Oryzias latipes: one gene and its partners. The protein of the gene in region 4 purifies or fractionates together with the protein of the main gene of each other region. This does not show direct contact. Links are inferred from orthologs where the notes say so. Each region holds a gene or a part of one and is shown on either strand. Other genes may lie near its edges. The genes, in order: nat10, ltv1, lin28b, larp7, ybx1, ythdc2 and srp9.

Region 1 (4,290 bases), on a different chromosome or scaffold from region 4:
AATGACTGACTGAATAATTTGCACCACACTGAAAACTAAAATTCAAGAAATGCATCGACCCTGGCTCACTTTTGGTGTTTTTTTATCGTACATCATCAGTGGCATTTCCCCCTTTTCTTTTATAAATCAAAGGAATGTCTTCTTTGATATTTGGGAAAAAACATGCAGACTTTAAAACACATGGCCGATTGTAGATCTGGTATTTGATTTTACAAAAGCCACGTGGTTTAGAGTCCCTGAAAACCCTGACGGATTTTATGAATGATTTTATTTCACCTGCTACTGCTGGTCCAAATGATGGGAGCTGTTCCCGTATCTCAGTTTTGTCATTTTGGTTAAAAAGTCGAATCACTTTTTTTCCAAGAACTCTCATTTCCTCGTTTGTAAATTGATGTTGCTTCAAGAGTTTCAATAAAGTTGTGTTGCATACTCTTGCTCTTTAATCACATTTTGTTCTTCAAAGATGCAATGAACCAGGATAAATGTTTGTTTGTATTTCTTATTGTGAAGCTGAGTCTGCTGTTATGATAGTTCTGCATTTGTTTACATTTAACATTTATGTGGTTCAGGATAACTTTAATGCAGAAAGTGGCAAGTGTAGGATATCTAAGCTTTACTTGACATATCTGAGACTGACAGGTGAACTGAAATACTGTAAAAGTTAAATAAAATTATAAATTAGGTTGGAAAATGTTGGAAAAAGTTGTTAGTTGATGAAACTATATGTCTAAGCCTTTAATACACCTTGCTGAAAAGTAATCAGTAATTTGGACAAGTTGTTCGCAGGGTGAGTTGGAATGCTATCCTTTAACATTTTAAGCATTTTCAATTTTATTTTGTTGACAATCTTTACATAATTATTATTGCTTTTAAAAGGAGCTAAAAAGATTCTCTTAGAAACTTCCACTTTTGCAGTACACTCTGTGCCAGAAGCTTTTACAAAAGGTTAGATTTTAAGAAGAAAAGTGAATTACCAGCAAAAAAAACAACTTGCATATCTGTGATATTTAAGAACTACATTTTTACAAATTAAATGTGTCCAATAACTTAAAAATTCCTCCAGTATCAGTATTCTACCCAATATAACCTCAAAAGCTGTGGTTCTGTCCTGTGCTCAACATTTATTTTTTATTTTGTTATAGTAGTTTACTTGAAATTTGCATTTCAACAATTTTTAAAACAAATTGTATACGAAGATATGGCATTTTTTTAAGTGAATGGTGATGTTTTCTTTAAAAATAAACTGCACTTTAGTGGGAATAAAATAGATTTTTTTTGTTCATTATCTGGAAACCTAAGAAACTTCCTCGAGGAATTTCGCAGCTTTTGCTAATTCGTGTTTAGATAATTGCTCAGATGGTTAAAACGAGCTCCCTAAAACTTCTGCAAACAGTTTGCATGTCCTAGGAAAGACTTTTTCTTTGTTATTATTGTTTCCGTCTATCACCTTTTTTGTTTCTGTTTTGTTAATTTAAAAGAAAAAAGAGAGAGAGGTTGTCGCGCAGTTTTGACGTCATCCACGGGTCCTTCATGAACTGTTGTCTCCACGTGAGTGTATCAACAGCGTGTTTTTTTTATTGCTTGATTTGTTGTTGAGTTTTTCTGTAATTTTAAATTCCGACCAACAAAAGAAACTTTAACAGAAGGTAAACGGACAATAGTTTGTTTTCTCAATCCGGTTTTGTTGTTCTCGTTTGCTGACAGATTACCTGGAATTGCTAGCTGGCCTCCTGTATGTCTTAGTTAGTAGTCAGCGTTAATGCTTTTTCTTTGCAGCGCTGCGACAATGGCGACAGTCCGCAAGAAGGTGGACAATCGGATCCGGGTCCAGATAGAGAACGGGGTCGCTTTAAAGCACAGAACCATGTTTGTGGTTGTGGGAGATCGCGGCAAAGATCAGGTCAATCATCAATTCCTCTAGTTAGCAGTCTGATTCAGCAGCTTCCTCCATATTTAGTCATCGTTTTCCTCTGATCCAGGTCGTGATCCTGCATCACATGCTGTCTAAAACTGCTGTCAGAGCTCGACCCTCGGTGCTTTGGTGCTATAAAAAAGATTTGGGCTTTAGCAGGTAAGTAGAGACTCCATCCAGACAGGTGGTTGCAGTGTCTGCAGGGGGAAAGGAGGGCAGCTGTTGATGTGTCCCAATGAATGTGAACAGCAATCGGAAGAAGCGCATGAGACAGCTGCAGAAGAAGATTAAAACTGGCACCCTGAATTTGAATCAAGATGACCCGTTTGAGCTCTTCATTGCTGCCACCAACATCCGCTACTGTTACTACAACGAGACGCACAAGATCCTGGGAAACACTTTTGGCATGTGTGTCCTGCAGGTGAGAAATCTCTATGGTTTTCGCGAATAGAGCTGGTCTTTGTTTAGGCCAATGTGAACCAAAGATTCTCTTCTTCATGGTGTTTGCTCGAAACCAAAGTCTTTGGAAAATAAAGTAGTCTTTTCACACATTTTTTTCTACTACTCAGGACTTTGAAGCTCTCACTCCCAATCTCTTGGCAAGAACAATCGAAACGGTGGAAGGAGGTGGGATCATCGTCATTCTGCTCCGAACCATGAAATCTCTCAAGCAGCTTTACACCATGACCATGGTAAGCTGTGATCTTCGTTCACCTTCGTCGTCTGGTTGGTTTTCGGATTATCTTAGTTCCTGTTTTTCTTTGTAGGACGTGCACGCCCGATACAGAACTGAGGCTCACCAAGACGTGGTGGGCAGGTTCAACGAGAGGTTGGGTTCTTTTTTCTGTTTACCCTTTTTTGAGTTTTTTCTTAGTTGCAGAAAAAAATATTCATAGTGTCTTTTAATTTGTGTTTTTCAGATTTATACTTTCACTTTCCTCCTGTAAAAACTGTGTTGTTATTGACGACCAGCTTAACATCCTTCCAGTCTCCAGCCACATGACAAACATCAAGCCAGTTCCCCCAAAGACCCAGGTACAAATGTTGTCATGGAAACTAATATACCGTTAGTTAATTAAGAGGAGGTTGTAATAATACATGAGGAAAAACCAAATGTATATATTTTTTGCTTGTTTTACTCCGTTTTTTCAACTTCATTTATGTTTGAAATGACTTGACGTTGAGTAAACCGCTTTGTTATTTTTTAAAAAAAGGGTTTATGCTTAATGATGCTTTAGGATTCTGCTTTTGTATTCTTTAAATTCAGGGGAATTCTGAAAAATTCCCTATAGATCTACGATTTTTGGAGTCTGCTGTTTCTCTAGAGCACTCATAAGTGATGTTCAAGAGGGAGACTTCCTTTTCTGCTCACCATGTAAACTTTGAACTTTACTTACATTAATTATTAATAACAGGAATCTATTTGTTTACAAGTGGGGGCATCAGACTAGCAGGGAGCTTGTGCGCCGCTCATTGTGTTATATTTCACAAATGCACTCTTTGTCCAACGGCATTTTTTTTTATCTGCTTCTGATTCACAACAATTTGTATAAAGAAATACTCAAAAATGTATAATTTTGTTTACATATATATCCTGCATCGTGAGAAAAATGCTACTAAACAATTTCAACATTTTCTTTGGAGTGGGTCTTTAAGTTTATCTTTTGGAGTGTTTGTTTTACCAAGGTCTTTAGGTGTTGACAAGCCATCACCTTCTCTTCTCCAGGAGGACGGTTTGTCTCCTCGAGAGCAAGAGCTGAAAGATCTGAAGGAGTCTCTTCAGGACACTCAGCCTGTCGGGGTTCTAGTGGACTGCTGCAGGACTATGGATCAGGTCAGGTCACCTCTAACAGCATGGGTGGTGATAATCTTGATGGCAGAGATCTGAACATACAGAGGGGTTTCAGTAGGAAGTTAAACTTGAATGGGATTGAGCTTAAGAAGGTTTGAATTGTAATTTTTAAGAAGCGCGTCATCCCGTAGGCAAAGGCGGTGCTGAAGTTTATCGAAGCTGTGTCCGAGAAAACCCTGAGGAGCACCGTGGCTCTGACTGCCGCTCGAGGTCGAGGGAAGTCTGCTGCGATGGGGCTGTCTGTCGCTGGAGCTGTGGCCTTTGGGTACATGAGGTTTTTGTTTAGCCCCACGTAAAGAACTCTAGATTCACATTTAAAATTGTTTTGTACAAACATCTCTTCTTATTCAGCTACTCCAACATCTTCGTGACTTCTCCGAGCCCAGACAACCTCCACACCATGTTTGAATTCATCTTCAAAGGTTTTGATGCTCTGCAGTATCAGGTAGGTGCTAAGATCTTCTCTCTGTCGGTGGACAGTGACTCTCACCTGATGTTCTTCTCATTTGCAGGAGCATCTGGACTA
Region 2 (4,116 bases), on a different chromosome or scaffold from region 4:
GCCGGAGCCCCCGTGTACCTGGCCGCCGTGCTGGAGTATCTGACCGCTGAGATCCTGGAGCTGGCCGGAAACGCCGCCCGCGACAACAAGAAGACCAGGATCATCCCCCGTCACCTGCAGCTGGCTGTCCGCAACGACGAGGAGCTCAACAAGCTGCTGGGCGGAGTCACCATCGCTCAGGGCGGCGTGCTGCCCAACATCCAGGCGGTGCTGCTGCCCAAGAAGACCGAGAAGCCCGCCAAGACCAAGTAGATACTTAATGATCCACCAACAACACAACGGCTCTTTTAAGAGCCAAACACGTCTCTCTTTCAAAGCATCATCCTCTAATTATATGCTATGTTAAACATAAAACCTGGCATATTTAATGTCTCTAAACCCTTTGTAGGATTTACTTAACACATTTCTCTTTACTGAAGAAACTGCCCTGCGAGAAAGATCTTCTGATACAAATGTTGATAAGCTTTGTAAGCTTCTTTTACCTATACTCTGTGGTTCACAAGCGCTTTTTATTTTTTATAGAAATTTTACAGAAAAGCTGTTTGCACTGAGTCGACAGACATTTAATCTGTGCTGTATATCGTGTGTGTGTGTATACAGTAGTTGTGAAAATAAAGTTGACTTGACGTTGCATACCTAACATAATTGGTCTTTAATTCTTTTAGTATCTAAGGCTTTTCAAAAGCATTGGGTCAAGTTTTTTTTTTTTGCACATATAAAGTTATGCATTTCGAATTCTAGCTTTTAGCCCATGATTATTTGACAAAATTGAAAAGAAATTAACAAACTGTTTAAGAATGCCATTTATAAAAAAGAAATCGTGCAAATATAATTGGAAGTGGGTGAAATACCATGACTGACGTTAAAAATCGCAATTAAGCAAATTGAATGATCGGCTTCCATTACATTTCTTAATCATCTCAACCAGGCCCCTGAATCCATGTAGGTTTTCTTGAATTAATCAATAGGTGGCGATAGTGCAACAGGTCACTGTTAATGAACCACGACTAAACCCGAAGAAGAAAGGGATGTTCCATTAAAGCTTTAGACAGCAAATATTGAAACTGTACAAATGACAATACAGCAGCTATTTAAAATCAGTATTAAACCTTGAGCCTTCTTTATATGATTATGTCTGGTCCAATAATAAGAATGGGTCTCGTGCAGGTTTTTTGCTTGACCATAATCGTATCGGTTCACCCCTTCATCGTGTTCCAAATGGTCCCTTCCTTGAATCAGTAGCAGCATGTTGCTCGATCGTGTCCACCATAGGGTAGACACTCCTTCTTTACCGATACCAACCAATCACAGTGGAGATCAGCAAAGCGCCCCGCCCACATGGCCCCGATCCGATGTTAACAAGGCCACGAACAAACTAGCGTGTCCGATCAAGAATTAAAGTAGCTGCCAAAGAACGATTGTACTTTTATTGTTACATTTTTTTGTGGTTTTACTGTTTGCCTGTGGAGGATTTACCTCACCAGCTTTTTCGGAAGAAAAAAGAGCGCTATAAAAAATGGTATGGAGACACATGTACTTACTTAGCTAACAGTTTTAGCTTTAGCTAACAACTCCTACTGCAACTGTTTACTAAAAATCATTTAGATTTTTATTATTTTACCAGGTTGCATGTTTTATGCAGGATTCACTTTAAGAATAGTGTTATTTTATTCTTTACCTTTCATTTTGAACAAATTAACATAACAATTTTAGCTAACTTATTCTGGGTTTATTTATGAAGTCTGAATTTATTCTACTTTTTTGTTTGGAAGCCGATTAACTAGGTAATAACAGTATTCCGTAATTCTGTTTTTGTGGTTTTTGTGATATTTATTACTCTTTGGTTCTGTTATATTTTATCCCTGAGTAAATATTTCAAATGATATACGATCCGGAGGGTTTTTTGTTTGTTTTTTGATAAAAGTCCTACTTTATCTTGATACTCTCATAAATTAATCCAAATATACTTGGATTCAGTTTTATTATATTGCGTTTCATGGAATACTTGCCTTTGTGTGTTTTGTAGCCGCATCGAAAGAAGAAAGCCTTCATTGAAAAGAAGAAGGCCGTGACCTTTCACCTTGTCCACCGCAGTCAGAGGGATCCCCTGGCTGCTGACGAGAAAGCGCCACAACATGTCCTCCTTCCTGCAGCAAAGGTGCTCTGTCTGTTATGTAGAAGCATATTTATTGATTTTTAATCCACTTTGCATAAGGACATGTGATGTAATAGTTGTGTTTCTAAAAGACTTCTTGGATGGTGGTTTTGTCCAGGTGGACACGGAGAAGAGACACGAGGAGCAGAGGAAATTTGGTGTCTTCTTTGATGACGACTACGATTACCTGCAGCACCTGAAGGAGCCATCCGGCCAGTCAGAGCTGGTTGCTGCTGTTTCATCGAACCGTGATGGAGGATCTGTTCAGTTCCTAAATGAAGGGGACGATGAGATGGAGCAGGAGGAAGACAGTCCCGTGAGTTAGACATGAAATCCTCTAAACCAGGGGGCCTGACATTTTTCAGACCACTGACAGGTTTAATGTTGGACAATGTTTTCACAGACTGGCCTGTTTAAAGCTGAAGTAGGCATCAGATGTCTTTCTTTTTTATCCTTTTGTTCACCTTCAAGGAGATTATCCTTGTCCTCTGTAAAATATCTGCAGCTGCTTTAACTTTATTTCTACACACTAGATGTAGTGTGTTTTCAATGTGATCTAGACGTTCTCCTAACCCAGGAATGTCAACGTGGAAGCTAAAAAGTCTGACATCATAAGCAGCAACTCAAATGTGATACTGATCTACTGTGTTTAAGTGTCACCATCAACAATTAAATTGTATTTTAAGATCTATAAGTACGATCAAATCGTAGGAAACATCCTAACTGTGTTTTGTTTGATCAGGTTGCCACGCTGCACTTGCCTTCTTCTGTGTTCGCCTCAGAGTTTGAAGAGGAGGTGGGACTCCTGAACAAAGCTGCTCCCATTTCTGGTAAAATTCTTTTTTTTTTCCTGCAGATTCTCCTTGTAAAAGAAAGATTAGAGATCCGTGGATCTGAGCAGAACAGTGGACCTTGGAGCTCTTTGACATCATGATCTGTTTGGAGTTGTTGTGTAAAACCTTTCCTGTGTAATTGCATCAAACCGATTGATTACTTTTATTTTTTAAAGCTTAATATTGTGTAAAACTGGTGCTCATCCTTGCGGTTTCTTTGTTCTTTTTCAGGACCTCGCCTGGATATGGACCCCGACATCGTTGCTGCCCTCGATGACGACTTTGACTACGAAAACCCCAACAACATTTTGGATGACGACTTTATCACAAAAGCAAACGGACCGGCGGGAGGCTTAGAAACAGAGTGAGAAGACTCTAAATATCTTAAAATAATAATGTCTGCTGGTTTAACTCCATCTGAGCAGCTTTCTGGAGAGAAGTTTGAAGATTTCTGATGTCTCTCCTTTCAGTTTTCAAGCAAAGATGGCATCGGCTAAACAGTGGGATGCTGCTCTAACAGCACATGTCATTTAAATGTTAGGAATGTTCCGATCTGATTCGTGTCATTTTGATTTTGAGGATCTGCTGACACCGAGTCCCGATCCAGTCGTTCGGTCTTACATTTAAAAAACAAACACGTTTAATAAACAGATCCAGGTTTTCACCTCCTTACACCGATGAACCCTTAAGCGTTTCACCTCCGTGAAGCAGCTTGAACAAAAAAAAGGGAAAATAGTTAACTAGAAATAAAGGTGATAATTAGTCATGTGAGAAAGTTTGGCGATTGTAGCTTTAGTGTCATCATAGCTTTTTTGACTGTCTGTCCATCCAACCTTGTGTTTTTGTGTATTTTGTGGTATTTGTTGATTTCTTTGGGTTATTTGTAGCTTTTAGGGGTTTTTGCCGGCTATTACTTTGGGGTGGTGGAGGCTCTGCATTTAGAGGGAGACCCCCCCCCCCCCTCTCCCCCTTTGCCCTGTATACAGCCATGGTCCAGTCATTACATACATAAATATTCATCATCATATTCAAAATCAACTTGGTGGGGATTTTTCCTTATAAAGTGTTTTAATGCATGTAACCATTGTGCTATCCTAGGCACTTTAACATTGGGAGTGGGGTCATCTA
Region 3 (3,500 bases), on a different chromosome or scaffold from region 4:
CCGCCTCCCAATCTGTCACGGAGATCCAACTTTTCTTTTTGTTTTGTTTTGTTTTATTGTGGGGACGTCGCTCGCTGCGCACCACGCGTCCCGGATTGTTTTTACGTAGAGTCGAAAATACGAATTTTCCACCGTCCGTGAACTTCGCTCTGAGGGTGGAGGGGATTCCCCCCACGCGTCCCGGAGAGGTCGTGCAGAACCCAGTGATCAGGGAGGCTCGGTTGGTCTAACGCGCTTCTTCTTCCAGGAGGGCCGGCGAAAGGTGGAGGAGTCAGAGAGGAGCCCGCTAAAGCTGCCGAGCAGGAGGACAGGACTCGACCTCAGGTCCTGTCCGGGTCCGGGTTCTGCAAGTGGTTCAACGTCCGGATGGGTTTTGGATTTATCTCAATGACCAACAGTGAGGGGAGCCCAGTGGAGCCTCCTCTGGATGTGTTCGTCCACCAAGTAAGTTCAAACACAAAAGCAGCACACATCCTTGTGTGTGTGTGTGTGTGTGTGTGTGTAGTTCTCAGAACTGGGCCCATCCATGCCTTCAAGGGCCCTCAGTTCCGACCAAAGCAGCAGTAAGGGGTGACTTTTGTATCATCTGGATGTTTTGTGTTGCTCAACAAGTTGCTGTGTAATCTGAGGTTGTCCAATGCTTAGAAAAAGAAAAAGTGTTTCCTCTTTGGACCATCAGCTCTCCCCTCCCCTCCCCTCCCCTGCCTCCCTCTGCACTGCTGGGGGACTGGAAGCAGTGCTGTGTGACTGCCTGCAGCAGAGCCTGACATCCAACCAGCTAACAGATTCAAACGTTTCCCCTTTCTGGCTTTTTAGAAGCTTCTGTTTGTTTTTCTATGTAGAGTTTATTTATCAGAGGCCTCTATTTCTACTTATTCCATAGCAAACAATAAGCAGCAAGATCTTCTCCTCCAGCTCCTCTTCTTCTCACATAATGTTTGATTCCATGAAGTGGCTGTGACAAAAACAGGGAGCAGCATTTCTTCTCACCGTTTTCTGTTTTGCAGACTCAGGGGAGATGTACTGAACACGAGGGGTCATGTTGGTTTTAAGAACAGAGGGAATCACTGATTATTAACTTGGATATTGGAATTATATAGATTGTAATTGACTCAAATATTTGGAATTTTGCATTTTAAAGTTGTATAAGAAAAATTGAAGAAACAAATTGCTGCATAAGTTCTTTAACTAGTTCTATGACTTCATGTTCTGTATGATTTCTTGTTTACTATACAATTACCGGTATGAATCCCATTGAGATGCATGTTGTTGTAATATTGGGCTATATAAATAAAATTGATTTGAATTTAAGGTAACTGATTAAATGCAGTATTTTTGAGTATTTAATGAATTTAATGTCAAAAACACAGAAAATAAATACTTATGTGCATGTATAATTTGAATACTTTTAGGATTAAATCTTTTTTTTCTCTCTCAGCCAAATTCATTATAAATAAAAATAAATTCCTTAAATCTCAAAAGTACTTATTCCATTAACCCTATTAGGGTTTTATTATCATCATAATCAATGCAACATTTTTATTAACCAAGAAAGAAACTGTTGATATGTACATTTTATCTGTTAATATTGTGTTTCAAGCAAAAAAAGAAAAAAAAAATCTCAAAGGAACTAACAGAAGCTGAAAGGATGCAAAGACTTTGAAATATTTAATCAACTTAATACCTGCAGGTGTGGTCAGTGATAACATCATCACTTAGATTTATAATAACCTTTATTATCTTTTTAAAAATTCATTTAATGAGACTATCTTCTTAGAATTCAGTTTTTTTTGTAGGATTTAGAGCAGAAAAGCAATACAGAAGAGCATTAGGGACAGGTAAAATAAATGCAAGCAAGTTGCAAACTGCACATGTATTTCATTTATTCACTATCAAGCAGCCTTTTTTCAGCTTTATATTTCCAAATATGATTTATTTGATCTTTTTTTGTTAAGTCTACTGCAAAAGTTGGGGTAATATATAGATAAAAAGTACCTTTTTTATTTTTAGAGGCTTAAAACGCTTATGAGTTTTTGTCAACATTTGTTTGTGCATGTCAACAGATACAGTTGTAGCTGCATCATTGTGCTGCTATGTTGTGATTCATTCGACTAAACGCACCGCATCCAAGTAACAGCGTCCCTGCTTGCCAGGGATGCTGTGGAGGTGGCTTAGGCCAAGGAGCTGAGCTGCAAAACACTCAAACTGTGCAGATTTATTTATTTTGAAGGGGATGCAGGAAAAAAAATGCAGCAATTTGTTGTAACTTTCGATCTCAAAATCCAAAAACATTCAAAATATAAAAAGTTTTTACCTCAAAGCCAAGTTTGACTTTTAGTCTAAAAGATTCAATTAGGCAATAAACAAATAAAAACAAATAACTGTATTTAAATAAAACGGCAACATTTTAAAGTAGATCCATTACAAATACACACATTGAGGATGTGATTTAATTAATTCAATATCCATTGATTTTTCTTTCAGATTTTTTCTCAAAAGCCAATTCAGTTTAACAATTTGAAACTTTTCACAGAACTAGTTATTTATTCTAAATTAATTATAGTAATTAAATGTTGCCTGCCTACACTAATAAGGTTTTTTATGCCTTGCATGGTGGCGAACAAACAGACCCACTTTAATAAAATGATGTTTGTTGTGTTTTAATGTGATTTTCTGATGATGGAGGACTTGGAGGGAGAAAATTAAGTTTAAGAAGAAATGACACAGAGAAATGCTTACTAAACTGAATTTTTTTAAAGAAAATTGTGTAGTTGGTTTTTTCAAAAACAATGTAATATTTTAGTTATTGACTATTGAAACTATTTGGAAATACTTTGAGTGTCTAAAATAATTGAAAGACTATAATTAATTACTGAGAGATAATTTTTTAATGCATGGTGACACATGCACTGCATTTTTCTACGTGGCACACTTTGCTGCTTCACATTTATATTAAAAAATGCAGTTTGCTATTCATAGGCAAAAACACCAGTATTTAACAAATCACCTGTTTGCAATGGTGCAGTTACATCCCAGTGTTGTGTTTACATGGATACAGCTGTCCTAGTTAACAAAGGGAAGAGGACACGCATTTAGAAGCAAATCATCGTACTCAATGCAAAACAGCTCATTTCTTTTGCATGGATTCACATACACCCTCATTAAGGCAGCCACTCATTTTCTTTGGCTGCTCCTCCTTCTCTGCCTCTTCTGCCTGCAGCCCCAAAGCTATTTAGATAGTATTTCCAGGTGCAGTGGGAGATGTTCGCATTTTGAAAAATTGAATTAAAATCTGTCAGTTAGGTTCCAACCCGGCGGGAGCATCTGCGATTTTGATAATAAAAAAGAATTTCTGGATGTAGATTCAGAGGCTGGATGGACAGAAAAGTCTTCAATGTGTGTTTATGGAGCAAGGTTTGCTCTCAGGAGGAGAAGGAAGGATCTATACCTTAAATAAATGAGGAAAAAAAAGGGGTAAGAACGAAGGAGAGGGGAATATG
Region 4 (4,300 bases):
CGGTAATGTTTAGAGGAATTTTTTGTTAACCTTCCCCTCTTGCAAACGTTGGTCAGTTTAATATTAATACATGCAATTGTGTTTTTAAAAGTGACCTTATGTCTACCCTTGTATTGATCAAGTGGTATATATGGGATTAAGAAAGTAAGCAGTGCTAGCAAATTGTGTTTCCAAAAAGTAATTGTTACATTAATCTAATTCAATGTCCCTGATTTCATTTTCATGTAGATGCAATAATCCTGCAGGAATTAAAAGAACATGGCAGCAGCTAAAAATGAAGTATAAAAACATAATTCAATCAGGTCAAATTTGAGCATGTCATGGAGGTAGGCTTTGTTGACAATATTTGACATATGAAACATCTACATAGCAATACATATCTAATGTTGTTTTCATTGTATATATGTAATTGACTGCAACGAAAAACGGTAACGCTCAAACAAAAACGTATGGGGAAATGCCAAAAAATCGAGTCTAGGTCTCAAAATCCTCGCACGACGTAAATGTAATTCTCTACGAATTAATGCAGCCTCCTCGTCTATTGGGTCCTCCAAAAAAGGACAAGCCATTCTTGTCACTTGTCTCTGTGTGACTGAAATTTGGGCAATGAAGGTTAAAGCGAAAAATACCGCTTCGTCTTTAAAAAGGGGAGGGGACCGGCAGAAACCTTGAGTTTAAAGAATAAAACCTGCTCCCGACCAGGTTAGGTTCACAGCGTAAGTAACTATGGACGCTGACTCCGAGTATAAGTTACCTATCTTTCAGAAACGGGTTTGACTTACTCTGCTTTCTCCGGTTTAACAAACCTCCCATTTTGAAACGGAAAACCCAGGGTTTCCCTGATTTCAGGGTTAACGCACTCAGAGTTTACACTTAACCTCATTTCTGAAACAGGGCCCAGGAAAACATCACGTCATAAAAAATATAAACCATATAACCTCAGACATTAATACAAAACATGTTGGCCCGTACGGGGATCGAACCCGCGACCTTGGCGTTATTAGCACCACGCTCTAACCAACTGAGCTAACCGGCCGTGCGCGTTATTTAAACACAGAGAATAAAATTGTTACGAGGACGACATCTCGGCATATCCATGTTACTATTTACTATTATTATTATTGTTTTTTTTAACCGTCTTAATAGGTAGATTGACCATGTCACTTATCAAAACTAGTTACTTATGTCACATAAAGACATGGGTAGTTTAGTTTACACAAAAAAGAGGACAAAAAAACAACAGAAATAAATAAATGTGTACTTCTTGGATTGGAAACTATCTTTTTACCTGTATTTCGTTTACATTTGAAATGAATGTTTTCTATTGCTACTTTGCGTAAATTTAAATAAATATATTTTTAAAAATGTTGCTGAGTTTTTCTTTTTTCCTTAAAAGTATGAAGTTATTTTTTTTTCTTCACATTAATCGGTGCTGAATTTTCTTGTACGTCTCAATATAATAGAACTTACCGGAAGTTGAATAAACGTCCTGGCGGACAGTTGTGACGACATCATTGTGCGACGTCTCCATTCGAAATATTCTGTGATGTTTGTCCGTTAGCCGCAGTGTTTTTGTATTTTTTGTTATGTTAGTATTAAATTGATGTTTATAATATCTTTTACTCAGGTAAGTTTGCAAAAATAACTACATTTTTAAAAGTAATTTATTGACAGTTAAGCGGAACTTTGCTCGCTTTTATAACTATTTTCAACAACAATACTACTGAATACATGTTTTAAAAAGTCGGACGTACAGCCGTGATTTGGCTTAAGAGCTGTTTTTGCTGAAATTCTATTGTTTTCGCTTTTCAATTTTTTTTTTTTTTTGCTTTACATATGAATGAGATTTGTTTATTGTGTTATGGTTACAAAAATGTCTTGTGTGTAAACCCCAAGACTCAAATGCAGCAAATAAACAATAAACCATAGTAAGATAATTCCTATTATGTGGTTTAGTTTTATTTTTGGAGATTTTTTAAAATCAGGATTTTGGTTTTGTATGAGTGTGTGGGATTCTGTTTTTTAGGATGACTAACACAGACAAGGAGGCAAGTGGAGGCGGTGCTGCCGCTGCACCCAGCGACAAGCTGAAACTTGAGACAGAGAAGAAGAAGAGGTACCGGGTCAAACAGCTGCTGGGAGACGTGAAGAAGCAGGTGGAGTTCTGGTTTGGAGATGCAAACCTCCACAAGGACCGTTTCCTGAAAAAGATTATAGAGGAGTCTGATGATGGATGTAAGGAGCCGTCAAGATGAGGATAGTGTGATTTTTCCAGGGGTTAGGATCTCTAACCTCCGTGTGAATCCCCTTTCAGATGTTGACATATCTGTGTTGACGGGCTTCAATCGAATGAAGAAGCTGACAACGGATCCAAAGCTCATTGCCAGGGCGCTGAAAAATTCCACTCTAGTTGAGGTAAATGTTGTTACTTGGATGCAGGGCTGTGTTTTGTTGACTAATCCAAAGTCACAGAAGACGTAGTAGGTTAAAATCACAAACTCCATGGAAACCAAAACCTCCCAAAAATACAAAACTGGAACAAAAACCAAGCAGCAGACATCAGCATCCAAATGCAGTAAAAATAAAATTCAGAGAAAAAAAGGAATACAATTTAATAATAAAAACAGCGATTAAAAAAAATAATGAAAAGCAAAAAAGGCAAATAAACAGATACATCATCTGAGTTTAATAGCTTTATTACTTTTTAAAGGGAATTAAAGATTAGATTTAAGTATTTTTTATAAAGCAAAAAATTGGGGTGAAGTTAAAAAAACAACCATTAATGAAAAATAAAATTCCTAAAATGATCTAATAATTAACTTAGAATTAAATATGTTTGTCTTTGTATAAAGATCCAAATGGAATAGTATTAGGCAAAAATGAAGTATTTCTTTTTTGTTGTGTTTTTTGAAAGCTAATCATTTAAATCCTGCCAAAAATATTAACCAAATTACAATAATAAAAAAAGATGTTTTAGTATCAGTTTTACACAAAGTTATATTGAATAAATCTAATTCTTCCTTTTTTTTATATCTTTATTGTCATTGTTTTTTCAAAGCTTTAAACAACATCACAACAAAACATTTCAATTCTGGCGTTAAAAGTAATATGTATATATAAAAAATATACACAAAGGAGAAAAAACCTCTATAAGGATTCCACTAAAGTTTGAAGGTTTTTTCTTTTTTTTTAACAATAAATGTAACTCTCTCAAAAGCTAAACGTCGAGGGTGTGTCCATACTCTTCCAATAAATCAAATTCTTAAATATGATTTTGTATAGATATATAAGGAATTGTTTTTAAATGAACTGCTTTTATTTTAAGCATGTAGCAACCGCCCAGTAAGGGCTGTCAAAAGGGAACAGCGAGGGTGGGTGTGATTGGCGCCTGTAGGCCGTTTAACCCCACTCCCAGCCTTATTAGCAGTTCGTTCTAGCTTTGATTTCACTTCGGCCCCTTGAATGAGTTGGGTTTCGTTTTTCTTTTGCGTGTTAGGTTAACCTGGAGGGAAACAAAGTAAGACGTCAACAGCCGCTTGGTGACCCACCCATCAACAGCGACAGCTGCACTGTCTACGTGGTAAAACGACGTCTTCTGTTGTCGCCTTCGCTTGGCTTAAAAACATAATTCAAGCCTTACACATATTTACTGATTTTCTTTCAAATTTTCCAAGGAACTTCTGCCCAAGGATGTTTCCCACAGCTGGATAGAAAGGGTGTTCTCCAAATGCGGGAATGTGACGTATGTGAGCATTCCCAGATACAGGACAACGGGCGACTCCAAGGGTTTTGCCTTTGTTGAATTTGAGAATGAAGAACAAGCGCAGAAAGCAATAGAGGTGAGCTATCCGTGTCACTTTTCCTCTTAAGGAAAGCATTTTTTTTTTCCATCTTAACGTATATTTTATCTCTGAAAACAGATGCTGAACAACCCTCCTGAAGATGCACCCAGGAAGCCTGGGATTTTCCCCAAGACTTTAAATAGGAAGCCGATTCCTGTTACAGGTGAGAGAGTGCTGGTTCAGTGCTATGTCACACATCACTGTATGTTGGCCTGAGCAGCTCATTCAGACTCTGTATATAACAATAAGAAGGTGTTTGTTGGTTCAGCTTGACTGCTTCATTCCAATACCATTGCTTTTTCTCTGTCTGCTCTCCGTTTTCTAACTCATTTATTTAAATCTGTGTCTGCAAACATTGTTTTATGTTTAAGTATCGAATGCAACTGTATGAAAGCTGACACGAAGCTCCTAAACATTCGAGGGCCTTCTTTGTTTTTAAAAGCATTTGTGCTAGACAT
Region 5 (4,285 bases), on a different chromosome or scaffold from region 4:
TACCAAGGAGCATGTTGGGAGAAGAGCAAGTGTCTCGACTGTCATGGTACAACTGGTTGCCTACTTCTGGATAGCAGCCTGGTGACCGCGTACCACAGTCATTTCTCCGCGTGGTGCATTGGTGTACGGGGGTCCACGACCATAATGTCTACGTACAAAGTATGGTGGGTAGCGTCGTCTGCTGGGGTAAGTGGGTCTGCGCTGCTGTGGCTGCGATTCTCCCTCAGGGGCGCTTTCTCCCCCGTCTCTGTTTCCTTTGTCACGCACTCCGTTGCCAGGCTCGCCTTCTCCATCACTTGGGTAGTTCTCTGGGTATTCTCCTCCACGAGGGGGCCCCCTTCTGCGTGGGTAACGCCTGTAGCGGTTCCTGTCAGCAGCGTATTTGCTTCCCTGGACAGCCACCCCTCCAGGGCCAGTGACATTTGCTGCCTCTGCACCCTGTTAACAGATAAGTTTAAAATTGACAACATGCCTGCAAACATAACCAAATTCTTCCCAAAACATTACCTTCTCTCCCTCAACTACATCAAACTCCACAGTCTCTCCGTCCCCAACACTGCGAAGATACTTCCTTGGGTTGTTCTTCTTTATGGCTGTCTGAAATCATCAACAATTGAAAAGTGAATTAGTCGAAATAAAAAAAAAATGTTTTAAGTTTCCAAAAGGTTTGGAAAATAATAGGTCACCTGGTGTACAAAAACATCCTCTTTTGTGTCATTCCTGAACAAAAAGAGAAAAAAATAAAAAGATTCAGTTATACCACACATGACTTACTAAGACAACACACCTCTGAAGACAGATTGCAACTAAGCCAACAAGTGCAAGGATTAATGAAGTCTTGCAGGTTACAGTGTGCATGCAGACCACTAGAAAAAATAATCAGGTCAGCCACGTTAGCAAAGCAATAATCATAATAGGATTGGGAACGCTGGAGGTGGTCATTTACCTATTGATGAAACCATATCCATTCCTGACGTTGAACCACTTGACTGTACCCAAGACTTTTGTTGCTGCAATGAAAAACAGAGCAACTCAGTTATCAAGTGTCAATATTACTTCTCTAAGCTGCAAAGGTAATTTTAGAATAGCAGTAATGAAATTTTGAAAATATGATAATAGATTGGGAACAGTCAAAGCATCGCACATAATAAGATATGTGCAGGAAAAAACTAGCCATAGTGTGGACGTTAAAAATAACTTCCAACTGTCGTGCTTATTATAGATGCTGATGCTTAGGAGAGCCTGGCGCCAGCTGCTCCCGGTGTGAAGCTCCGGCCATGGTAGAAAACAGTCCAATTACATTGACTGCAAATGTGTGGAAGGAATGCGGATAACACGGGGAACAGAGCTTACGACACGTCAAACTTCAAAACAAGTAACCTCGCGTTTAGCAACTGCATTTAGAGAACTCGGACATTAAAGACCTACTGCCCCATTTTAAGACGCCCAGTTCACGACGTGAGCGTTCACACGTGGTAGGGTCGCACACGGACAGACCGAAAAACAAGCCGAGTTGGCTTCTTAGCTTAGCCGTGTAGCTAAGAGTTACAACCATGTGGTTGGAGTATAGCCAAAAAGCGGAAACCAACGTAATAAACCCATCAACATCTTACAGATGTTACTTCGAAACTACTTAAGCAAGCGCTTTTAGTACCTAAACCGAGCTAGAATAGAACTGTAACGTATAAACGGATCGTGTAACGGCGGACATTTTGGGTGGCCTTTTCAGCCATGTAAATAGCCAGCCAGCTAGCTGGCTAGGCTAACATTAGCATCGTTAGCAACTGGAAAGCTATCGTGAAATAATTAGGCCTCACCGAAAATGTAAAAAAAAAATCGAGTTAAAGCTTAGGACGGTTTGAATACAAATCCCAAAGCGTTTATTATTGAATATATCTAATAGTTACAAAATAAACTTGAAAACAACCACCTTTAAGCTTTGACAGAGAATACAGGGATTCGACACTTGTGCGAACAAAGGGATAGTAAGCAGCTAGCGTCAGTTGCCGGTGAACTTGTTAGTGTGAACTAACGCAGGGTATTTCCAAGTTTAAAACATTTATTCGTCATTTTTTCGGGTTTTGTTCGTACTTTTGGCGGTTAACGGTGAGAGATAAAGGTCTGCAACGTCTGGTAGTAAACATGCTGGATCTGACATAAATTACTCCTACGATCATCCATGTGACGGCCGTTTGGATGCATGCGTCTCTTTTTCGCAAATGTTTTCCCACCAAGACAGAAAATCATGGATTAAGTGGTTATTTACTACATTTCTAAGATGTGGATTTTTCCTAAACTTGTGACATCTCATAGTTAATGAGAATGATACGCTATTAATGAATAACCGTTCCCAACTGACAGTTTTTAAAATGTATAATTATATTGACAGTTGGTATCACAATTCGACGTACGGTTTAACGTCCAACTACTTAATAAAGTTGATCGTAACGGTCATTTTACATTAACATAATTCAACGGCTGTTTCTGTCTCGTTTACAGCAACATAAACCACGTTTAGCATCTAGTTAGCTAAGTGGAGTCGGCAGTCTTACCGATGACCTTCTTATCCCCCGCGGAAGCTGCAGCTGCCGGGCTGGATGGGCTTTCCGCATCATCGGCAGCAGGCTGCGGTGGTTGTTGTTGTGTCTCGGCCTCGCTGCTCATAGTTACTGGTTGGTAATGGCTTCTGCCGGCGGCGGCTCTCTGCTATTTTTCCCGGTGCTAGATGGTAACGTGGGCCGGCGGTGGTGGGGGCTACTGCCTTCGGGCTCTCAGCTTTCCTCTTTCCGCTCCCGTTGCCGATCGAACTGGGCAGAATCAGTAGTTGTGTTGGGGAATGTTCTTGGTTGTGGCCCCGCCCATTCGAGCTTTTCACTGGCTGGAATTATTGACTGAATGCGTCACAGAAAAAAGGCGTCCTCTGATTGGCTAGACTACTGTCAGTCTAGTTGAAGCGACGCGTTTTCACGAACGGTTGGTTAAAGGTACCGTACCTGTCAGTTTTCACCGCCCCATTGTAATCATGTGTCAGATGCATAAAACTAAAAAAAAAGACGCATAAAGCTAGTGTTGATCCACGTAAACCCCTTTTAAAACCGTAGTTAAACAACATTTTTATGGCATTATTAGGAAATATTAGCCTACTTTTAAATATTGCTGGAGGCTAACAATTTATGTAAAATTTCAAAAAGTTTGACTCCCACAAAAGAATCAGAATATATTGTAAATTTAAAAAAACATCCACAATATTGCTTTTTTATTTTTACTTTTAAAATGAATGGTTGTTACCTGTAAATAGTGATGATTAAACATCAAAAACCAAACTTGATAACCAAAATACAAAAGATCCAATCTGCAAATTTTTAGATTTGACTTTTTGCAAAGAGAATTAGATTTTGTGAGGTGAACATTTGTGAGGACCAACCATTCAACCTGCATTCTTTGAACCCTTATAACATTAAATGCACATGAACTGTTTAAGGGAAATGCTTATTGCATATTAATTGTATTTTCTACACATAGAACAAAAGAAGAGCTTAATAAATCTTTAACAAAATGACAGTGAATTTCACATGTGAAAACCATGCACCATTCTTTCCTAGTTAGCTTGGCATAGTTGGGATGTCTTGTCTTGTAGTCCCTCTTGATATTGAATTTCTTGAAAACATCCAGCCTCTTGCATGTTTAGTATCTTACTGAAAAAAATACACAAATTTCTACTTGTCCTGAAAGCAGCGACCCCCAATTGTCAACATTTGTTAAATTTACAGTCGACATTTTAGAAATGAGCTAAAAGGTATTGCAAAAGGGTCACATCATAGTGTTGCCATAGGTTTAAAATGGTTTATAAAGTAGGCAATCATAATCAAGAAATCATACACAGTTTCCTGGGAGCACATTTATTTTTATAAAAGGTACCAGCAGGCTAGAAGAGGCTTTCAGGAGGGCTGCATTTGGCCAGACTTTGTAGAGATCTAGAAAGAAACCTTTGACAGGTTTCTGAACCCACCTTGGACCGGCCAGACTTTGGACATGCCTGCCTTAAATGGTGAGAACAAGAATAACTCCATATTTAAAGTGAACTTTCAAGACAATCCTGCCCTTTTTTGAGAAATATTAAATAGAAATATAGAAAATATTCCAGCACTGACTGGAATATTTGAAACAATCTCCGTGTTTCTTGAAAAAAAGAGATTTTTTTCAGATCGGACGTTTTGTATGTAGGGTGTGTATTCCTTTCACATATTTTTTTAGTTGTTATAACCTGGTATTGTACTGCTTCACT
Region 6 (3,500 bases), on a different chromosome or scaffold from region 4:
CTTCCATTCAGCTCCTGAATGCACCTCATGCTGCGGCAAGTGTTACTATTAAATCTGTGCACTGTGCAATAAAGTCAGAAAAAAATGTTTGAACCAACTCTGGTTGGATGTTTGTTGTAGCAGCAGACACTTAAAAGTCATGGTTGTGAGTTTGAGCCCCCTGACAGAAATGTTAGGCAATGCTTCACCTGCCAAAGTGAAACTGTTTTCTACCCACCACATTGAATTTAGAGCCCTGTTTTTAGCTATGAGAAAAACAATATCTTTACTTTGAAGTAGTAGATAATACAATGAAGGTAATTTTGGAGCCAAAGTGGTGATGTTGGCCATTCTGGTGTAAAAATCCAACACTTGTTTTCTTCATGTCCATATGAGACTTCAAAGATGCTTTGTCTATAATACTTTTCTGATTTAACCCCAAAACCAAGGTCATGGCCAAGAGACATATACCAGTCCAAATAGAGAGATCATCAACCAATGTCTCTAAATTGATTATGTTAAACTGAAAGAAGGAAAGATTATAACTGTCTTATTGAAAACTTCTATCATTCTGTTGTAGGGTGAGAAGACAAGGCTGCAAAGACAGATAGATGCTTGCATCTCCAAGCTTTTTTTTTATGAAGACCAAGAGATTTTCTGTCAGCTCTTCAGTCTAATCCTAAATGAAGGTGTTGATGGTAAGACTCTCTAGAGTGACCTGCTACTGTGTGCTCTTTACTGTATTCAATTATTATGGCAGTTTGAAATGATTTCTTTAGAAATTCCTCTTGGAAGTCTTTATTTTAAACATTTCTTTTGTTCAGGACCTAGATTTTGCCTAGAAGTAGCACCATTGTTTTACTTTTTGCCCCTGGTTATGTCTTCTGTGGTGGTCGTACCCCTGGAGCCATGTTTATGTTTTTTCCTTGTAAACTGTTCCACAGTTGACTGCTCACACAGTGAGACTGGTGCTACACCTCTGATGATGTCAGCAGCCCGAGGATTTGTCACACAGATGCAGCAGCTGCTTAGCATAGGTGCTGACCTCAACAAAAGGGAATCAAATGGATGGTACGACCTCAGTGTCTTTAAAGTTCTGGTTTCCTTCTTGATCTTTCACTTTACAAATGGATCAGTTTTCAGTATGTCAAACTTAAGACCATTACATTGATGTTCTAAGATGAAAGAAATATGGTTTTTGATACCAATAAAGTAAGCAGCAGTATGAGCTTCAAATCTAACTCTGAAGCCACCACCAGCCATAAGTTGTACAAATCTGCTGATTGCCATTTTGTTGTTTCAGGACGGCTTTGGACTTTGCCAAACACTTCCATCAAACAGAAGCAATAGATCTGCTCCAGTGTTGCAAGTGAGCCATTCCTTGATCCTAATTAGTTTCAACAAATAAAGAGCACGCTTAGCACTATCTCTGTCCGATACAAATATATGGCAGTATTAGGATCCTGGCAATACTAGTATAACAATAATGGCAAATTCATATGAAACCTTTGGTCCTTTCGAGCCACTGTCTTGCTTGTATTTCCCTCTAACCCTTCCTGTTCTTTTGAATACCTATATTTCAGGGGTACCCAATACTTAGATCCTTCCATTGCAAAAAAAGTGTGAGAAAATCAAAGGGCATTTAAAATAAGCAAAAAACATTTAAAATATATGTTGTTTTTAAGTAAGCCATTCGAATGTCTTCTGATATATACAGTGGGGAAATAACTACTCAGTCAGCCACAAATTGTGCAAGTTCTCTCACTGAAAAAGATGAGATAGGCCTGTAATTTTTCACATAGATAAACCTCAACTATGAGACAAAATGAGAAAAACCTATGTGTAAATGATGGTGGTAAATACCGTAATTCCCGGACTATAAGCCGCTACTTTTTTCCTGCGTTCACAGCCCTGCGGCTTATTCAGTGACGCGGCTAATTTATGGATTTAATTGGCGGCCGCCATGTATGTACATTTGGACTCAGTGAATAGTTTGAATTTTTTATCTAACACTAAGCACGAGTCATTTGTTTTTCAGCAAACTAAGTAGCCAAACAGCATGGACCTCACTTCAGGACTTAGACACTTCAGTCATGGTTCAACAAAAAGAAACACGCATGCCCGGCCGCATCCCAGAATCCTTTGGTGCCATTAGACCCAACGTGCACGTGATCGCCGCTACAATATGATGCAGCTTTCAAGTTAAAAGCAATGGTTAAAAGCAGCGTGAAAAAATCCACCATCACCAACGGGTTTGGAAAAGCCGGTCAGCTGTGTGACGGAGAGAACAGCGCATGCTCAGGAGTGAATTTACCTCTGAGTCATAATGACTCAGCTGGCTGCACGTAAATATGTGGGAATAACATCAGCCTTTATTTTGTCGGGACACGACTGGAAACACAAATCCACGTGGTCGTTTTAACGGTTTCTAAGGACTGACCGGAATTTTGCATTGAAAAGCTCACAGCCTCCGTGTGAGCTGGAGACATGTTCTCCTGGCTACTGCTCGTTCACATAGAGCTGCGGGGCCAATGGCAGTCTGAAGGCTCCCACACGTAACAACGCATCCGCCCCTCATCCACAAAACGTACAGTTTTAAGTCCGATTGCTCTGCACAGACACGATTTGCTCCTCCCTGGAGCCGCCCTGGCCAGATGTGTCGGAGAAGATAGGAAGGGGAGCGCGCGCGGCGAGCGCGGAGCTCAGAGGCGTCCGCGGAGCTACAGTGTTTGTTGTGAAAGGAAACTTCTGACGCACGCGCCACGCTGAGGCGCGCGCTTTTCAGTCGCCGCTGCTTTATTTTACTGCTGTGTGTTTTTTTAACCAGCCCTGTTACTCCCATAATGCTGCCGCGACACAAGCGGAAGGAGAGCTGTTCCTTTTCGCCCCTCCATCCACTGCTGCTATTGCTCATTCTTAAACACGTACAACAGTGAGGCGAGCCGGGCGTTGGCCCCGCCTTTTAGCCCCTAAGACTCATGGGAAATGGGGGATCGTGAATGTAAATTTCCTCATCATAACTGAGGGATGTAATGTTGATTATATGGTTACTGTTTGTAATTTTATGTGTGATACCTAGATTGTCAATAAGTAAAAAAAAAAAAAAAAATTAATAAATAAACCATAACTGAGGAACTTGTGAACAGAATAGAGGTCCATGCTGTTTGGCAGATGTGGGCACACTCAAATACATGAGCTTGAGGCAAGGCTGACTCCTCCAACAGTGAGGTAATGAACCTTACCTATTCTGTGAGTCAGGACGAGACATGCGGCTTTAACTCCGACGCGGCTTATGTATGTTTAAAAATAGTTGAACACGCGAAAATGGGTGGGTGCGGCTTGTAATCGGGTGCGCTTTGTAGTCCGGTTTTTACGGTAAGTATTTGGTTACCTACAAACAAGCTAGATTTCTGTCTCTCACAGACCTGTAACTTCTTCTGTAAAGGATCCTCTGTCCTCCACTGGTTACCTGTATTAATGTCATCTGTTTGAATGGTTATCTATATAAAGCTACCTGCCCA
Region 7 (3,380 bases), on a different chromosome or scaffold from region 4:
AGCAGATGAAGAAAAGCAGCAGAGATGGGGCCTGTTTGGGGCTGCGAACACACGCACGCCCTCACACACGCGTGCACACTGTGGTTTCAACAAACAGTGAAGGATCCAACAAACGGGCCAAATGACCTTCTGCTGAGATCCAACAGACATACATTGGAGGGGGGGAACTGACTGATGAATGCCCCCCCCCCCCCCCCCCACACACACACACCCCACCCCACTCACTCACAAAAGACAGGATTATCCAAAAAACGTGTCCTGATGAAGAGGAGCGGGAGAAAAGGAGTCTTCCTGTGCTTCTTTCTCCGTGACACGTGAGCGCCCTCTGGTGTCCAAAAGATGAACTTTTTAACCGCCTTAAACTTGAATGCAGAACATTCGACAGTGAAGGTTTTACATTTAGCTGAATGTTTATGTAAATATACCACATGAATAAAATTATCTCAATATTCAAATTATTAGGAACATATATTTTATCAGCTTATTTTCTATTTCAAATTCTCATTTCAATTTTTTTTCAAACACAAATAAAAATAATTAGAAGAGTTTAAAATAAACAGATTATGCCGGGACAGTGTGCTTGAAAAACATTCACGTTACATTCTGCATAGCACGTCTGCAGAAGTGACTTTTGGTATCTATTGACCTGCTGCCCTCAGAAAGGCGCTACAGGTGCATCAGAGCGAGGACAAACCGCCTTAAGAACAGTTTTCCCCAAAGCCATAACCATCCTGAACTCACATTCACTGACAGCTCCACACCAACACGCACACGCACGCACACACACCTCTCTCTCCTCTCATTATGTGCAGTATATCTCTGCTATCATGGGCACAGCAGTGCAATACCTGCTTCACTGCGGAAAGTAAAACTTTTCAGCGAAATGGTTTCTTGTACATTTTTGTACTTTTGTAAATTGTACATTCTTTTGTGAAATTATTTTTCTTATGCATGTCTGCACTGTACAGTGATTGGCTCTCATTTCACTGTATGCGCGTGTGATGCGAATCTTACACTGTATAGTGACAATAAAGGCATTTTATTCTATTTTATTTCTTGTCCATCAGTCGCGTCTCGAAGATTTTTTTAAATGCATGTAAATTTTAGTTTGTTCTAAAATTTCATCCAATTTAAATAAAAAACGAAAATCCCTATTTATATGGCCCTATAACCTTTGGCTCAACTAAGACTTCCGGGTGTCTATTTTCAATATTTCCAAAGTAAAAGCCTAAATCTGCCTGAAGGTTTTAAACCACAGCGTTTCAGTGACTTTTTTCCCAACCAACCAGGACGATGAACGTCCAAAACACTGAACACTGTAAGTTTTAAATTTGTTAAAAACATATCTTTAAAAATGTGTTTTTTTACCTTTACCTGTTTTGTTTTGAAAAGACAAAGCGGATGTTTCCGCCTTCTCTTTCCTGCTTTCCTGACGCTGATGTGGTGTTCCGTGGTAACCACTAAGTTTCAGATTCAATCTTTATCTAACTGGCAGTAATCGAAATGCCGGTCTTCCAGACTTGGGACGAGTTCGCTCGCGCCGCAGAGAAACTGTATTTAACGGATCCTATGAAGGTGAGCCGCTGAACACCGGGAACGCGCGTTAGCATGCTAATGCTAGCATGGCGGGGTCTAAAGCTGAGTGTCTGCAGGTCCGAGTGGTCCTGAAATACCGCCACTGTGACGGAAGCCTCTGCATCAAAGTCACCGACAACGCCGTGGTAGGTTTCTGGGGTGGGGGGTCTGGATTCATCGATCCGGTCTCTGTAGACCTGATCCAGGTGTGCTGTGGACGGCCATGGGGGCGCGCACGGCTTCTTCCAAATGCCATCGGTTTAGTTTCCTTAACCCTCGTAGCATAAGTTCACGTGTCCAAAGAAAAAAGGCGTTTATTGACACGCGCGTGGAAAGAAGTCTGCTGTAAACAGAAACAGGCACGTGAGACAATCATACCGGTTAAAGTCCGTGACCAGGTGGATGACGTGACGTTAATTATTCAACCAGAAGCAGAAGTTCAGCTGTTTGGTTCAAATCCTTCATCACAGAAGCTGACTCCTCTTCATCAGTTCATAGTGTTCAGTCAGGAAACAGACTCCAGGTCGTTTCAGGCATTTCTTATTTCAGACTTTTATTTTGAAACAGAAACGCCGCTAATGACCGGCTGACTGTTCCGGAAGTTAGAAGACGTTCTCTTGGAGCTTCCGGACCTCCTCTCAGCACAGCAGCTGGGTCGGGTCAGAGTCTATCTGGGTCCAAAGCCCGGCTCTGTTCTGGGATCCTGGTTCCAGTTCTGAACGGATCCGGGATTCCAGAACAGTGGTTCTGTGATCAGGAGCAGATGTGGCACTAAGCTCCGCCCTCGACAGTTCCAGCAGAACCCATTGCTGGACGCTGACGCTAGAAAGGGGTTGAGGGGCGGAGCCAGAAACGTCCTGTGAGCCTCAGTCACTGTGAGCCCCTCCCCCTATGGGAGGACAGATGCTGTTGTCATGACAACAGCTGCGGTTGGCGCTTGGTGACAACCGCTCAGACATAAACTCGCCACCGTCTGCGGCGTCCTCTCCATCACCTGTTGTCTCCGCCTCCAGTGTCTCCAGTACAAGACGGACCAGGCCCAGGACGTCAAGAAGATCGAGAAGCTGCACGGAAAGCTGATGAGACTCATGGTTTCCAAGGAGACGCACAGCGGCGCCATGGAGACGGACTGATGCTGCGGATGCTCTGTGATGTGTTTGGGGGGGGGGGTCCTGCCCTGATGGAGCGTCAGGGGAGGGGTTATATTTATATCATATCTTTGTTTGTGTGACTGAAACGGCGGCGTTGCCCCCCCAGGCCTTTTCTGGGACTCTTTTCTGTATTAAAGTTTCTTTTCCAGCTGCTCTCCTGCCTCCTGCTTCATCAGAGCCTTGGTGGTTCGTTGCTGTCAGGACTTTCCTGAAGGTGGCGCTCTGCGCTCCTGCCCGCTTTCCCGCCCTAACCTCTATAAAACCATGCAGTGCTTGGATTCTAACAGCTGGTCGGACGCTACGCTCACTGGTTTCCAAACGGCAGAGGTGACGGTCATTTATGAGTCCACGGTCTTCTGAAGATGAAAACGTTGAGGGTTTATAAAAAAATACGTTTTTGGCAAAAATTGTTCCGATGCAATGCATTGTGGTCTATATGTGGTCAGAGACTTCTGGGAAATTTCTGGGATTTTAGAATTGTGGATTCTGACGGCACTACAAGGGAAGGAATTCGGACAGATGTTTGGAACCAGAGCAGCCTCAAACAGAACCGGGCCTCACCTCCAGAACTCTGGACTGTTTCCCCTGAGAAGGGAACTGGCTCCGCCCCCTTTGCAGTCACGTGACAACATGACAGCTACCGAGTAATCGAGA

What was found.
Region 1: the proteins of larp7 (region 4) and nat10 purify together in Homo sapiens (affinity purification with mass spectrometry; 3 studies listed by BioGRID and IntAct, with this or other methods). This does not show direct contact. The link is inferred for Oryzias latipes from reciprocal best matches to the Homo sapiens genes LARP7 and NAT10.
Region 2: the proteins of larp7 (region 4) and ltv1 purify together in Homo sapiens (affinity purification with mass spectrometry; 3 studies listed by BioGRID and IntAct, with this or other methods). This does not show direct contact. The link is inferred for Oryzias latipes from reciprocal best matches to the Homo sapiens genes LARP7 and LTV1.
Region 3: the proteins of larp7 (region 4) and lin28b purify together in Homo sapiens (affinity purification with mass spectrometry; 3 studies listed by BioGRID and IntAct, with this or other methods). This does not show direct contact. The link is inferred for Oryzias latipes from reciprocal best matches to the Homo sapiens genes LARP7 and LIN28B.
Region 5: the proteins of larp7 (region 4) and ybx1 purify together in Homo sapiens (affinity purification with mass spectrometry; 5 studies listed by BioGRID and IntAct, with this or other methods). This does not show direct contact. The link is inferred for Oryzias latipes from reciprocal best matches to the Homo sapiens genes LARP7 and YBX1.
Region 6: the proteins of larp7 (region 4) and ythdc2 purify together in Homo sapiens (affinity purification with mass spectrometry; 3 studies listed by BioGRID and IntAct, with this or other methods). This does not show direct contact. The link is inferred for Oryzias latipes from reciprocal best matches to the Homo sapiens genes LARP7 and YTHDC2.
Region 7: the proteins of larp7 (region 4) and srp9 purify together in Homo sapiens (affinity purification with mass spectrometry; 3 studies listed by BioGRID and IntAct, with this or other methods). This does not show direct contact. The link is inferred for Oryzias latipes from reciprocal best matches to the Homo sapiens genes LARP7 and SRP9.

What each region holds. Positions count from the first base shown.
Region 1 is NC_019864.2:14,876,447-14,880,736, forward strand, and holds the start of nat10 (RNA cytidine acetyltransferase), read left to right. Parts: upstream 1-1,490; 5' UTR 1,491-1,548; exon of another isoform or gene 1,549-1,646; intron 1,647-1,776; 5' UTR 1,777-1,786; coding exon 1,787-1,900; intron 1,901-1,979; coding exon 1,980-2,071; intron 2,072-2,161; coding exon 2,162-2,333; intron 2,334-2,481; coding exon 2,482-2,604; intron 2,605-2,679; coding exon 2,680-2,741; intron 2,742-2,832; coding exon 2,833-2,947; intron 2,948-3,638; coding exon 3,639-3,746; intron 3,747-3,895; coding exon 3,896-4,029; intron 4,030-4,115; coding exon 4,116-4,209; intron 4,210-4,276; coding exon 4,277-4,290. UniProt on the Homo sapiens protein: RNA cytidine acetyltransferase that catalyzes the formation of N(4)-acetylcytidine (ac4C) modification on mRNAs, 18S rRNA and tRNAs.
Region 2 is NC_019859.2:3,981,398-3,985,513, forward strand, and holds the start of ltv1 (protein LTV1 homolog), read left to right. Parts: upstream 1-1,316; 5' UTR 1,317-1,516; coding exon 1,517-1,519; intron 1,520-2,026; coding exon 2,027-2,158; intron 2,159-2,273; coding exon 2,274-2,471; intron 2,472-2,897; coding exon 2,898-2,985; intron 2,986-3,219; coding exon 3,220-3,352; intron 3,353-4,116. Other genes in the region: histone H2A-like, read left to right, coding at 1-252. UniProt on the Homo sapiens protein: Essential for ribosome biogenesis.
Region 3 is NC_019882.2:6,943,544-6,947,043, reverse strand, and holds part of lin28b (protein lin-28 homolog B), read left to right. Parts: intron 1-247; coding exon 248-444; intron 445-3,500. UniProt on the Homo sapiens protein: Suppressor of microRNA (miRNA) biogenesis, including that of let-7 and possibly of miR107, miR-143 and miR-200c.
Region 4 is NC_019876.2:11,528,903-11,533,202, reverse strand, and holds the start of larp7 (la-related protein 7), read left to right. Parts: upstream 1-1,500; 5' UTR 1,501-1,627; intron 1,628-2,026; 5' UTR 2,027-2,027; coding exon 2,028-2,235; intron 2,236-2,314; coding exon 2,315-2,415; intron 2,416-3,496; coding exon 3,497-3,580; intron 3,581-3,674; coding exon 3,675-3,839; intron 3,840-3,920; coding exon 3,921-4,005; intron 4,006-4,300. UniProt on the Homo sapiens protein: RNA-binding protein that specifically binds distinct small nuclear RNA (snRNAs) and regulates their processing and function.
Region 5 is NC_019865.2:7,798,218-7,802,502, reverse strand, and holds the start of ybx1 (nuclease-sensitive element-binding protein 1), read right to left. Parts: upstream 2,801-4,285; 5' UTR 2,665-2,800; coding exon 2,553-2,664; intron 1,011-2,552; coding exon 947-1,010; intron 721-946; coding exon 687-720; intron 598-686; coding exon 508-597; intron 439-507; coding exon 157-438; intron 1-156. UniProt on the Homo sapiens protein: DNA- and RNA-binding protein involved in various processes, such as translational repression, RNA stabilization, mRNA splicing, DNA repair and transcription regulation.
Region 6 is NC_019882.2:18,466,502-18,470,001, forward strand, and holds part of ythdc2 (probable ATP-dependent RNA helicase YTHDC2), read left to right. Parts: intron 1-559; coding exon 560-677; intron 678-923; coding exon 924-1,050; intron 1,051-1,282; coding exon 1,283-1,348; intron 1,349-3,500. UniProt on the Homo sapiens protein: 3'-5' RNA helicase that plays a key role in the male and female germline by promoting transition from mitotic to meiotic divisions in stem cells.
Region 7 is NC_019882.2:390,040-393,419, forward strand, and holds srp9 (signal recognition particle 9 kDa protein), read left to right. Parts: upstream 1-1,397; 5' UTR 1,398-1,503; coding exon 1,504-1,575; intron 1,576-1,652; coding exon 1,653-1,721; intron 1,722-2,588; coding exon 2,589-2,708; 3' UTR 2,709-2,880; downstream 2,881-3,380. UniProt on the Homo sapiens protein: Component of the signal recognition particle (SRP) complex, a ribonucleoprotein complex that mediates the cotranslational targeting of secretory and membrane proteins to the endoplasmic reticulum (ER).